3 linked regions of the Arabidopsis thaliana genome follow. The protein of the gene in region 1 binds, or shares a complex with, the protein of each later gene. Each region holds a gene or a part of one and is shown in the gene's direction. Other genes may lie near its edges.

Region 1 (4,127 bases):
CAGATTTCCGGTCAGATTCCGGTTCAGATATCGCAGATTCGGATTCTAAACTATCTGAATGTTTCTTGGAATTCCTTTAACCAAAGCCTTCCCAACGAACTCGGATACATGAAGAGTTTAACATCAGCAGATTTCTCACACAACAACTTCTCCGGTTCAGTACCAACTTCAGGGCAATTCTCTTACTTCAACAACACGTCATTCCTTGGAAACCCTTTTCTCTGTGGATTTTCTTCAAACCCTTGCAACGGTTCCCAAAACCAATCTCAATCTCAGCTACTTAACCAGAACAACGCAAGATCCCGAGGTGAAATCTCCGCAAAATTCAAGTTGTTCTTCGGGTTAGGCCTACTAGGGTTTTTCTTGGTGTTCGTCGTTTTAGCTGTGGTCAAGAATAGGAGAATGAGAAAGAACAACCCGAATTTATGGAAGCTTATAGGGTTTCAGAAGCTCGGTTTCAGAAGCGAACACATATTAGAATGTGTTAAAGAGAACCATGTGATTGGGAAAGGCGGACGAGGGATTGTCTACAAAGGGGTAATGCCAAACGGAGAAGAAGTTGCAGTCAAGAAGCTCTTAACCATAACCAAAGGATCATCTCATGACAACGGTTTAGCCGCAGAGATTCAGACATTAGGTAGAATCAGACACAGAAACATAGTGAGATTGCTCGCTTTTTGTTCAAACAAAGACGTGAATCTCCTTGTTTACGAGTATATGCCTAATGGTAGCCTCGGAGAAGTCTTGCACGGGAAAGCTGGAGTGTTTTTGAAATGGGAAACACGGTTGCAAATAGCGTTGGAAGCGGCTAAGGGGTTGTGTTATCTTCACCATGATTGCTCGCCACTTATAATCCACCGTGATGTGAAGTCAAACAACATCTTGTTGGGTCCTGAGTTTGAAGCTCATGTTGCTGATTTTGGGCTTGCTAAGTTTATGATGCAAGACAATGGAGCTTCCGAGTGCATGTCCTCGATCGCTGGCTCGTACGGCTACATCGCTCCAGGTACATGACTGATTCCTAATACTACTTTCTTGTATCACACGTAACATTCAAACTTAGGATTTCAGTACTTCTAGTTAAAACGTATGATTGATCTTAGCCCATTTTATCCGTTTCTTGAATGCAGAATATGCATATACACTGAGAATAGACGAGAAGAGCGATGTGTACAGCTTCGGAGTAGTGTTATTGGAGCTGATTACGGGTCGAAAACCAGTAGATAATTTTGGGGAAGAAGGGATAGACATTGTGCAATGGTCAAAGATCCAAACAAACTGTAACAGACAAGGTGTGGTGAAGATCATTGACCAGAGATTGAGCAATATTCCATTAGCAGAGGCCATGGAACTGTTCTTTGTGGCAATGCTATGTGTGCAAGAACATAGTGTTGAGAGACCGACCATGAGAGAGGTTGTCCAGATGATCTCTCAGGCTAAACAGCCTAATACTTTCTAAATGCAGTGATGTTATATATATAAGAGACTAAATATATATTTTTCTGTTTTATGTGTTTCATAGAGTTTTGTTTTTAGAATTTGTAATGATGGTTTGGTGGTGATATGAGTTTATATTGAAATTGAGGAGGAAAAAAAGGGTTAGCATTATATCTTCCTATCATAAAGTATCAAGCAAAACTAAATAACATTTGCTAGAAAATTATGAATTATGTGAAAGATTTGAAAAAATAGATAACTGTTCTTTGATTCATTTGGAATTATAAAAATCATGATGACCAAAGAAAAATGTTGAAATCACTCAAGCATTTGATTTAACATATGATTATCCAATATCTATAGAAATAGTTAGCATTTGAGTGTTTTTACTTTTTAGTATCCAATTCACTATCATTGATATTTTTAATTTTGTTGTCTAGCTCGATTTATAACATTTGGCTAGTTGTAAATCGTTATCCCAACATTGTATTCCAAAAAAAAAAACCAGTTAGTTATTCAGTGGTTTTGAACTGAGCCCAGCCCAAATCCAATGATGTGGTTCTCGAAACTTTTTGGGTTGGTTTAACAAAAACCGGTTCAGATCTTTTCTTTTGATCCACCAATTGATTGGACTAAACCGACTTATAACAGTCGCTACACTCCTATAGAAAAGCTTGAAATTGAACACAGTCGATGAATTTTCCTCTCCGCCTGGAAGATTGTGGAGCTCCCAGTTGTTGTTAACAACGGTCTAGAGATTCGTGTCTCTTGAAATTCGATCTGAGTTTCACCTTCAAGGTTCGTCAATGATCCGTAGCAATTTGCTTCGTTCTAAACCCTAATTTGAGATCTCAATTATGTGATTTTTTCGTTTAGGTTTTAATCAGGAATGAAGCATTCAAAGGATCCGTTTGAAGCAGCGATTGAGGAAGAGCAAGAGGAATCGCCACCGGAATCACCCGTTGGCGGAGGAGGAGGAGGTGATGGTAGTGAAGACGGACGAATTGAAATCGACCAGACTCAAGATGAAGATGAGAGACCTGTGGATGTTCGCCGTCCGATGAAGAAAGCTAAAACCTCTGTTGTTGTTACTGAAGCTAAGAACAAAGATAAAGATGAAGATGATGAAGAAGAGGAAGAGAATATGGATGTTGAGCTTACTAAATATCCAACTAGTTCTGATCCTGCTAAAATGGCCAAAATGCAGTGAGTCTTTGTAGAATTTTGATTGTTCTTCATGTTTCTTTGATGATTGATTGTTTGTTGAATTCTTCAGAACCATATTATCGCAATTCACTGAGGATCAGATGAGTAGATATGAATCTTTTAGGAGATCTGCACTTCAAAGACCACAGATGAAGAAGGTATATATGTTATATGATTTGTGGTTATCAACATTCTTAATTTTGTTTCATTGCAAATATGAACCATTTAGCTTTTATGTTAATGCAGTTATTGATAGGTGTCACTGGTAGTCAGAAGATTGGTATGCCAATGATTATTGTTGCGTGTGGTATTGCAAAGATGTTCGTTGGTGAACTCGTTGAAACAGGTAAGCCAGTGCAAAAATTTCCAATGATTTTGTTTATGTGCCAACAAAGCTCATTTACTGAACCTCAATACATTATCTGTAGCTCGAGTTGTTATGGCGGAAAGGAAAGAATCAGGACCTATCAGACCTTGTCATATCAGGGAGTCTTATCGGAGACTAAAGCTCGAAGGAAAAGTGCCTAAAAGATCAGTTCCACGCCTTTTCCGCTAGTCAACAAGAGCCAAAAGAGAACTTATATCAGCCTAAGACTGGGGAATTTACCAATGCTGCTCAAGGATAAGGGTCTACGGCAGGTTTAAGCTGGCGAGATTTGCCTATCAATCTCATCATAAAGGAGAACTTCTTTGGCTTCCCTGGTGGATCATATTGTTCTTTGATGTTCTTAACTTTGTGTGACAACTTTTGTAGTAAATCAATCTTTGGATACAGACCCTGAAATGGCTATCAGTCTTACGGTTTGGTTTTTATTTGGTTTACGTTTCCAGTTTTCATTTTCAATACAAGATCAATCTTTGACTACAGACCACATGGCCTAAAAGTGGCAATCCGGTTTACTAGGTTGGATTCGGTTTCATTTCCGGTTTTATAGAATTCGAAATCAAATAAAATCATTTGTAATCCGGTTTATTTGGTTAAATTTGGCTATACCTAAAAATTGGTTTTAGTATTGATTCGTTTTTGGTCGAACATTACAAGAACTGGGTTTATAAGTTCAAATTCAAATTGTGTATTTCTTCGGCGTGATTGAAAACCGTCGCGATCAGAATTCGGTCTACTGTCAAAATTGGTACGGAGACGTTTTGAATCACACAAGTTCCGGCGAAAGAGGATCTAGTGGGCCTGATAATGGGCCGATCTCGAAACGAACTATTACGTGAAGAGAAGAAAACAAAGTGGGTTGCGAATTGAAAGTCTACAGAAAATAAAAGGACTGGATTGGAAAAATAAAAAGAATAAAAGAAGTTTTGACACAATAACGCACCCACTATCTTTCTCCTTCCCTTCCGCCTTCCTTCTTCTTCTTCTTCTTCTTCATCCTCCTCACTGTTTAACGCAGAGCGCCTCCGTTTCTTCTCTTCTCCTCCTCTCTCTTTTCTCTCTACACAAATATTTTTCCCTTCTTTTTTCATTCTCTTTA
Region 2 (4,682 bases), on another chromosome or scaffold:
ATGAACTCTTCACTGCTGGACACCAATGGTTCAATCAAGTCCCAACCGAACCAAAAGCGTCTGGAGATCGAGGAGCTTACTCTTCAGACACCAACAAACGGAACCACATTGGTTCACAACTTATCTGCAGATGTATATGACAAGGATCACCTACTGGTTAGTTCACTTTGACTACTTGTGTTTAAAGCATGTGACTGGTAGATTGGAAGTTACTTAAAAATGCCATTTAACAGATAATGGGTCCTAGTGGGAGTGGAAAAACTTCGCTGCTAAGAGCAATGGCTGGTCTTTGGAGGTCAGGGAAAGGAAAAATCACGTTCTACCTCGATCCTGAGGTAGATTTTACACAGGAGAAATCTGATACTCAGGAAAATTCAGGGAAAAGAGGAGACGTATTGTTCCTTCCACAAAGGCCTTATATGGTTCTGGGATCTTTGCGTCAGCAATTGCTTTATCCTACCTGGAGTGCAACTGTGGAGGAGACGACACCTGGTGGCAGTAATATTGACGGTACTCAGTTTAAATTTGTGTCTAGTAACAACCATTTCTTTCAACTCCATTTAAGTTTATGCAAGCAGATTATAGAACCCAAAAGCAAATCGACTGAAGAAAAAATGCGTTGATTTTGTTAGGTTCACCACCTCTGCTGATTAGAGAGGACGGAAATGAAAAGCCGACAACAGATGATCTGATGCGGACTCTAGAGAAGGTTTGTCTTGGACATATAGCGGATCGCTTTGGTGGTCTTGATTCGATACACGAGTGGTCCAGTGTTCTCTCACTTGGTGAGCAGCAGCGCCTTGCCTTTGCACGGTTATTGCTGTCTCAGCCAAAGCTGGCGCTCCTGGATGAATCCACCAGTGCGTTGGATGAAGCTAATGAGGTACTTGTTGGTTCTCCTCTCATCTATCATTTAGAATAATATCATGTACATGTAGCGTTGAGCCATTAAAATTCCTCTTGATGCCCAGGCGTTCCTGTACCAGCAAATCCAGTCGGCTGGCATTACATATATAAGCATTGGCCACCGCCGGACTTTAACGAAATTCCATAACAAGATCTTACAAATCTCAACGGCAGACCCGAAGAGCAATGAACGTAACTGGCGAATAGAGGACGTGGATGCCCAAGATTCTTTGTACGGTAGATTGAATCAAAAGGAGGTGCCAAGTGAAAGCTGATCAAAACCTGATTGATTACATAAGAGACAGAAGCAGCAGGTAAATCTGCAAACGGGTGTCATGAAACATATAAGAAACATGTTTGGTGTCCATTTTGTATATAATCTACCAGACTTGACGTTGACTGAAGATGCAAGTAAATAGAGAGATTGATACAGATACGAGTGCAACGAAGTTCTGATTAAAAATAACACGCGAGATGAGCTAAAAATTCAAAACCGGCTGAGTATTTATCATAAGCCCAATAAATCTAACGATGGGCCCATTTGAGAAAGCCTGATAGAGTGAGAAAATGTAACACGACTGACTCGACTCAGTCGCTCAAAGTCGAAAAAGAAAGAAGGCGCAAGGAGGATGGTGACGAAAGAATCCATTGAAGTGATAGCTCAGAGCATTGGACTCTCCACTCTTTCTCCGGACGTCTCAGCCGCTCTTGCTCCCGATGTCGAGTATCGCGTCCGAGAGGTCATGCAGGTATATCATCAACTTCAACTTTACTTTTGCCCTCTAATCTCCTCTTTAACTTGTCGTCGCAATCTCCAGGAAGCTATCAAATGCATGCGTCATGCTCGACGCACCACTTTAATGGCTCATGATGTCGATTCTGCTCTTCATTTCAGGAATTTGGAGGTTTCCTCTTCCTCTCTTCTTCTTTTATTTCATACCGTTGACCCTGATTTTGACTTTTTTTTGTATAGCCTACCTCTGGCTCCAAAAGTATGCGGTTCAAGAGAGCTCCTGAGAACAGAGATCTATACTTCTTCGATGACAAAGATGTCGAGCTCAAGAATGTAAGCTTCATTGATTGGCCATGAATGAAGAAGATGGTGAAATGTTGTTTATTGTTATTAAGCTTCCCTTCATGGTCTCTTGTGCAGGTTATCGAAGCTCCTCTACCAAATGCACCTCCTGATGCATCTGTTTTCTCATTGGTTGGCAATTGATGGTATTCAACCTTCCATTCCACAGAATTCTCCTCTCCAAGGTATTTCTTTTGTCTTCTTTTGCATCACCTACTACTTCTCCTTCTAATCCCTCTTCCATGACAATTTGTAGCCATATCTGACCTTAAACGATCGGAATATAAGGACGATGGCTTGGCTGCTAGACAGGTGCTTTCTAAGGACCTTCAGGTTATTTTACTCCCTTCTTTTTTTGGGTCTTTACCTCGCTCTTTGAATGCTATATAATCCTTGCTTGCTCTCGATGCAGATTTACTTTGACAAAGTCACGGAGTGGGCTTTGACTCAATCTGGCTCCACCCTCTTTAGACAAGCACTCGCCAGCTTGGAAATTGATCCTGGACTCCACCCATTAGTTCCCTTTTTCACTTCTTTCATCGCTGAAGAGGTTTGTCTTTGTAATCCAACACTTCTAGTCTTGACTTTTATTCTAACTTGACCACATTTTCACTACTTTTTTTGTGCTTGCAATTTCTCCAGATTGTCAAAAACATGGATAATTATCCAATCTTGTTGGCTTTGATGCGTCTTGCTAGAAGCCTCCTTCATAACCCTCATGTACATATTGAGCCATATGTAAGTTTTGTGCGCACACTTTTTTTTTGTTTTTTTTTGTTTCTCTTCTCCCTTCTCCTCCTTCTGTTGACTTTTAACTTGTTGTATTCTGTTCAGCTGCATCAGTTGATGCCGTCTATTATCACTTGCCTTATTGCCAAGCGCTTAGGAAGAAGGTCATCTGATAATCACTGGGACTTGAGAAACTTCACTGCCAGCACAGTTGCTTCAACGTGCAAAAGGTTAATGTTACATTCTTGCTTTGTGATTTCATGCATCTTATACAACCATATAACTTGCAATCACATTAGTGAACTTTTTACAGGTTTGGACACGTTTATCACAATTTGTTGCCACGTGTCACAAGATCACTGCTTCATACCTTTTTGGACCCAACCAAGGCACTCCCACAACACTATGGGGCAATTCAAGGGATGGTAGCCCTTGGGCTTAATATGGTACTTCCTCTTGATGCTTCTTGATTATCATAACGAAGAGTAGCACTTTAGGTTGTGCGTCTAGAATTTTTACATAAGAAAGCATAAGTTTAAAACTAATAGTAGCATGATCCGACATCCTCGATAAAGTTATTAAACCTGCAATTGAACCTTAAGATATATATCCTTTGGTCGTCCGTAAGTATTTTCTTGCTTTATACCTTTGTCTAGGTTCGCTTTCTTGTTCTCCCAAACCTAGGGCCGTATTTGCTGCTTCTTTTACCTGAAATGGGACTTGAGAAGCAGAAGGAAGAAGCTAAGAGGCATGGGGCTTGGCTTGTTTATGGAGCGTTGATGGTGAGTATGCTTTCTAGTTTGATACAGAAATTAGAAAACTTGTTTGCTTTCAATCTCGTGTTGCAAAACAGGCAGGAGAGCATATAAACTTTAACTTTCCATAGGTGGCAGCTGGTCGATGCCTATATGAACGGCTTAAAACATCTGAGACACTGCTGTCTCCTCCAACTAGCTCTGTCTGGAAGACAAATGGAAAGCTCACCAGCCCCAGGCAAAGTATAAAATCTGGTCTCATTCTTTTTTTTTCTTTTGGCGTTCTAAACACGGAGATACGCGTTCTTAAATAATTTTTTTCTTCGGCCAAGGTAAACGCAAAGCAAGCAGTGACAACTTAACTCATCAACCACCACTGAAGAAGATAGCAGTAGGGGGAATTATACAAATGAGCTCCACACAAATGCAGATGCGCGGAACCACAACAGTCCCTCAACAGTCCCACACAGATGCAGATGCACGGCACCACAATAGTCCCTCAACAATTGCTCCGAAGACTTCAGCTGCTGCAGGCACTGACGTCGACAACTATCTCTTTCCTCTTTTTGAGTATTTTGGTGAGAGCATGCTTATGTTCACCCCCACACATGAGCTCAGTTTCTTCTTGTAATAGATTATTGACATGGTAATTGTATGTACCACAATAAATACATCTATATAATATTTCGAAATGTCTTGGAAATCGTCAACTTTATAGTGGGCATTTTGCGAGAGGTAAAATCAACCAGTGTTAATCTTACATAGACATATGTGTACTCTAATTATAGCTTGGCCTGGACCACAAATACACATCTTTTCCATGCTACTCCCCATCTCCATCTCCATCTCCACTATTAGTTGTGAAGAACGGAGTCAGAAAGTTTTTGTCCAACGCGGTGAATGATGTAGTGCTGCAAAGTTTTGTCAAGTGAGTCCCAAAAAATTGCAAATATCGCTTTTTACTCAGGAAAACATACTAAGCCATTCTCTTATTCTTACGTTTTGTGAAACTCCTTCAGCTTCATCTTGAACCTGCTTCCTGATGATGATGTATCCTCGTCAGATGAAGCTCCAATGCTAAAAGGAGGAGGGACATACTGATGATCGCTCTCTTCAAAGCCCTAACCACGTATCTGGGAGCGTTAGAAAAAGTACATACACAACTTTACTTCAAAGATATTAGAGTAGATCGTCGAGAGTTTACTTCAGACATGGAG
Region 3 (4,897 bases), on another chromosome or scaffold:
TAAGAATGAAATAAAGAGACTATACAATATACACCGTAACAAGTATATCCTTTAATTTTGTCATATGACAATTATTGTTCTTCTTTTTCTTTTTGGACATGGATAATTATATTTTGTTTCATTTTGGTAAATTAGGGTCCTGTTCGTTTGCCTGTGTTCGTTTGCTTGTCTGTGTTCGTTTGCCTGTCGCTGACGACTGAAACCAGCGACAACGACCAAAAGTTGTTTGTTTGCATAGCGATCAAAAGTAACGACAATCGCCAGCGACCAGCGACCGCAATTTTTGGTCGCTGAAATTTTTAGCGATCAGTCGCTGATTTCAGCGATTAGTCGCTGGTTTTAGTCGCTGGATCCAACGACATGCAAACGAACAATTTAGCGATCAAAAAATATAAATTAAAGAATAATTAAAAATAATTAAATTAAACAGAATTAAATTAAATTAAACTTAAAATAAATGTCTTTTTGCACTCTGAACGGTTGTGTCTTTTAATCGCAACTTTCCGTAAAAAATATTGATGGTTGTTTTTTCTCGCTTGTGTCTTTTATTGCAACCTTCCTATATTGTAATTTTCTGTCAAAATATTTACAGTTATTTTTTCCGGTTAGTTATATATATACTATTGAATAACTACGAAATTTAGAATATGCATCATTTGGAGTTAGATTTGTTTTAAAGAAATTATTATATAAATAAATTTATAATATTTTTCTCTGCGATATCAAGAAAGGTTTGAGTTCTAGTTTAATTAAAATAATTCTTATTAAATTAAGTTAAAATAAATTAAATTCAAATAACATAAACTAATTATAGTCAAATTAAATTTGATAAAACTAAAATAAATAAATCTATTAATTTATTTTTCTCATGGTGTATGATATATATGATTTACATTTTGATTTTAAAATATAAATTAGTACCAAAAATAATTAATTTTAAAAAAAAATATAGCGACTGTTTATAGCGACAGTCAAACGAACAACACAACGACAATTATTAGCGATTGTTGATGTAATTGGTCGCTGAGTCCAGCGACAGACAATCGAACAATATATGTTGTCGCTGGTTGCTGTCGCTGGTCGTTGGTCGCTGTCGCTGGATCCAGCGACAGGAAAACGAACAGGGCATAGGTTTTGTTTGTTTTATTTAGTATTTCTAACGTAAATTTTAAAAAAGCGCCAAAATCTAGAAGAAGAGTAATATGCGAGAAAATCACTTTTACTCTTATTTATTTACTTGTCTTGCCAAATTTCCATCAAAATTATTAATTACTTAATTATATAATTTTTGACTAATTATTTACTTTATTGGACCCGGGATATGTAACTAAATGGGCTTTTATTGGGCTGTATTCTGTGGACCATTAATAAACATAATCTTTGAAGTGCAAAAAAAAAAATGGGACCCGGGACAACTAAATCAGAATCGGGGCGGGTTATAAACTTTTCCCTATAAATTACCACTCCGATGTTAATACCCGCCTCTTTGATCCCTCAGACGATTTCTTCTTTCCGTTGTATCTTCCAATCACCCGATTGAGCTCCGCTTCACTTCCTCCGGCTAAATGTGTACATACTCTCAATTAGGAAACCGCCAATCCCACATAACGTTGAATGTCGTCGTCTCGGTTAGATATCAACGAGGGTTTTGTTCTTGGTTCCTTACTAAACAACAAAATTTGACGAAAATTGGTACTTGGGTATGAACGTTGTTATTCCCTAATTGTACCGGAAAATTTGATGGTGGTATGTTTCCCTTGTAGGTTTTCGTTGAGTCGTGGATTTGTTCTTGCTCCTGATTCTTTTCAGTAGTTCCTTTGCTATTTGGGAAGCAAAATTGTCACGCCACTCTTTGCATTCGAGGGTTTTATTATGTCTGAGTCCAACGACAACGAGACTTCCGCAGGTTATATTTGCAGTTTCTTACATGGTTTCTTCATTAGTGTATTGCATTCTCCTAGTTTTGCTCTAGTCATAATCTACTTATTGTGGGATAATTTATTGCTCAGCGTTTTGAGTTAATTAAATAGAAGGTTTTTATGTTTGAGATTTTGATATACGCAACAAGTCCCACCCATAGCAGTTACAAACTGAAACTATTTGCCACTACCAATTCCCGGTCATCAGCTTCACTGACTTGTGATGATATGTCGTGTAGATTATGGGAGCAATGATGAAGAGTATGATGGGCCTGAGCTTCAAGTAGTTACTGAGGAAGATCACCTACTACCAAAAAGAGAGTACTTATCAGCTGCATTTGCTTTGAGTGGTTTAAATTCCAGAGCTTCTGTGTTTGACGACGAAGATTATGATGAACAAGGAGGACAAGAGAAGGAACATGTACCAGTTGAGAAATCTTTTGATTCAGAAGAGAGGGAACCAGGTTTGCTTTTGAAATTTCCGTTTCTTGAACAAAACGATTAGCACACTCTATTCTCTACTTTTGTTTTGTCATTTCATTAATCTCAGATTGGTTTAGTTTTCTCAACACTTATACTTGTTTAGCTCGGGAAAATAATCTCTTGTTAAGTTGGAGTCCAGTGCGTCATAAATACTAGAGATCAGAACTCTTGGAACTTTTCTTAGATTCCTTTTGTGTTAGTGATTATGAGACACTAAACATTATTTTCGCAGTTGTCTTGAAGGAGGAAAAGCCCGTAAAGCATGAAAAGGAGGCTAGCATCTTGGGAAATAAGAATCAGATGGACACAGGAGATGTCCAGGAGGTCAGCAAGAATGATTTCGGTGTCTCAGATAACATCTTTTTTTGTTGTGGAATGATTTTGTTCTGTTAGTGATCTCATTGAAACGTTCAGGAGTTGGTGGTTGGATTATCAGAAGCTACTTTGGATGAGAAACGTGTCACCCCGCTGCCTACGTTATATCTTGAAGATGATGGTATGGTCATCTTACAATTCTCTGAGATATTTGCTATACAAGAGCCACAGAAGAAACGGCAGAAGAGAGAAATTAGATGTATCACTTATAGAGGTATGTGATCTGCAACGGCTTCCTAATTTTGTTTATTCTCAAAAGCCTTTGAATTTTTTGTGCTTTCCATTGGGATGTTAAAATCTACAACAACAATGATTTCTCAAGATTTTCAGTATCTCCCGTTCAATTCTAAAAGCCATTAGGTGTCGAAAGCATGAGAAGTTTTTTGTATGTGGCTCTGTCTTTTCTTGGCAAGAATTTAGTAGATATGTATATTTGGTGCTTCTGAAATGATATACATTATTTTCTCTGTTTCTCTCGTTATCTCTCTGCATTGTTCTTTTCTGTTTGTAATTCATCACTTCTTTTAATGTAACTAGAATAGCTGAGAAAGTTCTATGAAAACAATTATCATATGAGACTCTTACATCATAGCCTTCTTTGGTACAGACAAATACATATCTATGGATATTTCTGAGCTTATCGAAGACGATGAGGAGGTACTCCTGAAGAGCCATGGTAGGATTGACACTCATGGGAAAAAAACTGATCAAATTCAGCTGGATGTTCCCTTACCAATCAGAGAGCGTTCACAGCTGGTAAAATCTGGCATAGTAAGGGATACTACATCAGAATCGAGAGAGTTTACCAAGCTAGGAAGGGATTCATGTATCATGGGTGAACTGTTGAAGCAGGACTTAAAAGACGATAATTCATCTCTCTGTCAGTCTCAATTAACAATGGAAGTTTTCCCTCTAGACCAGCAAGAATGGGAACATCTAATACTCTGGGAAATTTCTCCTCAATTTAGTGCTAATTGTTGTGAGGGCTTCAAATCTGGACTTGAGTCAGCAGGTATAATGGTACAGGTGAGGGCTTCAAATTCAGTGACTGAACAAGAAAGCTTAAATGTGATGAACTCTGGAGGGCAAACTCAAGGGGACAATAACAACATGCTCGAGCCTTTTTTTGTAAATCCGTTGGAGTCTTTTGGCTCAAGAGGTTCCCAGTCTACAAATGAGTCCACTAACAAAAGTAGACATCATCCACAACTCCTTAGATTAGAATCTCAGTGGGATGAGGATCATTATAGGGAAAATGGCGATGCTGGACGGGAGAATTTAAAGCAGCTTAATAGTGACGCTCGTGGGCGCTTGAGTGGACTTGCATTGCAAGATAGGGATATGTGGGATGAGTCATGGTTAGATAGCATAATATGGGAGTCAGATAAAGATTTGAGCAGGTCTAAACTAATATTTGATCTTCAAGATGAGCAAATGATCTTTGAAGTTCCGAACAATAAGGAAAGAAAATATCTTCAACTTCATGCTGGATCTAGGATTGTATCTCGATCTTCAAAATCCAAGGACGGATCCTTTCAAGAAGGCTGTGGATCAAATTCTGGGTGGCAATTCAATATTTCTAATGACAAATTCTATATGAATGGGAAAAGCGCTCAGAAACTGCAAGGAAATGCTAAGAAATCTACCGTACACAGTTTGAGAGTTTTCCATTCGGCACCAGCGATTAAATTGCAGACGATGAAGATCAAATTGAGCAAGTAAGTGAGTCATTTGAATTTTTACATCTTATTGTATTTGTACGCTTCATTGTTACATTCGTGTGTGGTCTCAATGTTGCCACTGGATATATTTTTTAAATACATTTTTTTAGTGGTTTATGTTAAAAAGTTTTGATTTAACTCATTGCAGTAAAGAGAGAGCAAATTTTCACCGGCCCAAAGCTCTGTGGTATCCACATGACAATGAGCTAGCCATAAAGCAGCAAAAAATTTTACCCACCCAAGGTTCCATGACAATTGTTGTTAAGAGTCTGGGGGGTAAAGGATCACTGCTAACCGTCGGCAGAGAGGAATCTGTCTCTTCTTTAAAAGCCAAGGCTTCTAGAAAGCTAGGTTGTTTGTTTTCCTTTCATTTTTTGTCTACCCCATTATGACATGGAT

The links. The genes of interacting proteins can lie anywhere in the genome.
Region 2: TAF11 (region 1) and TAF6B share a complex: the UniProt entries of both Arabidopsis thaliana proteins name them as parts of the TFIID complex.
Region 3: TAF11 (region 1) and HAF2 share a complex: the UniProt entries of both Arabidopsis thaliana proteins name them as parts of the TFIID complex.

What each region holds. Positions count from the first base shown.
Region 1 is NC_003075.7:10,951,466-10,955,592, forward strand, and holds TAF11 (TBP-associated factor 11), read left to right. Parts: upstream 1-2,074; 5' UTR 2,075-2,235; intron 2,236-2,313; 5' UTR 2,314-2,326; coding exon 2,327-2,643; intron 2,644-2,713; coding exon 2,714-2,801; intron 2,802-2,889; coding exon 2,890-2,989; intron 2,990-3,071; coding exon 3,072-3,199; 3' UTR 3,200-3,611; downstream 3,612-4,127. Other genes in the region: BAM3 (Leucine-rich receptor-like protein kinase family protein), read left to right, coding at 1-1,006, 1,131-1,459; AT4G20290 (uncharacterized protein), read right to left, coding at 3,694-4,119. UniProt on the Arabidopsis thaliana protein: TAFs are components of the transcription factor IID (TFIID) complex that is essential for mediating regulation of RNA polymerase transcription.
Region 2 is NC_003070.9:20,289,065-20,293,746, forward strand, and holds TAF6B (TBP-ASSOCIATED FACTOR 6B), read left to right. Parts: upstream 1-1,535; coding exon 1,536-1,655; coding exon of another isoform or gene 1,656-1,724; coding exon 1,725-1,972; intron 1,973-2,059; coding exon 2,060-2,166; intron 2,167-2,237; coding exon 2,238-2,314; intron 2,315-2,393; coding exon 2,394-2,531; intron 2,532-2,623; coding exon 2,624-2,719; intron 2,720-2,815; coding exon 2,816-2,940; intron 2,941-3,023; coding exon 3,024-3,156; intron 3,157-3,366; coding exon 3,367-3,492; intron 3,493-3,596; coding exon 3,597-3,708; intron 3,709-3,797; coding exon 3,798-4,096; downstream 4,097-4,682. Other genes in the region: ABCD2 (ABC transporter family protein), read left to right, coding at 1-156, 234-510, 633-883, 972-1,181; NHX5 (sodium hydrogen exchanger 5), read right to left, coding at 4,289-4,376, 4,465-4,586, 4,670-4,682. UniProt on the Arabidopsis thaliana protein: TAFs are components of the transcription factor IID (TFIID) complex that is essential for mediating regulation of RNA polymerase transcription. Not redundant with TAF6.
Region 3 is NC_003074.8:6,572,528-6,577,424, reverse strand, and holds the start of HAF2 (histone acetyltransferase of the TAFII250 family 2), read left to right. Parts: upstream 1-1,811; 5' UTR 1,812-1,872; coding exon 1,873-1,906; intron 1,907-2,142; coding exon of another isoform or gene 2,143-2,158; coding exon 2,159-2,383; intron 2,384-2,634; coding exon 2,635-2,726; intron 2,727-2,816; coding exon 2,817-2,991; intron 2,992-3,384; coding exon 3,385-4,495; intron 4,496-4,646; coding exon 4,647-4,849; intron 4,850-4,897. UniProt on the Arabidopsis thaliana protein: TAFs are components of the transcription factor IID (TFIID) complex that is essential for mediating regulation of RNA polymerase transcription. Core scaffold of the TFIID complex.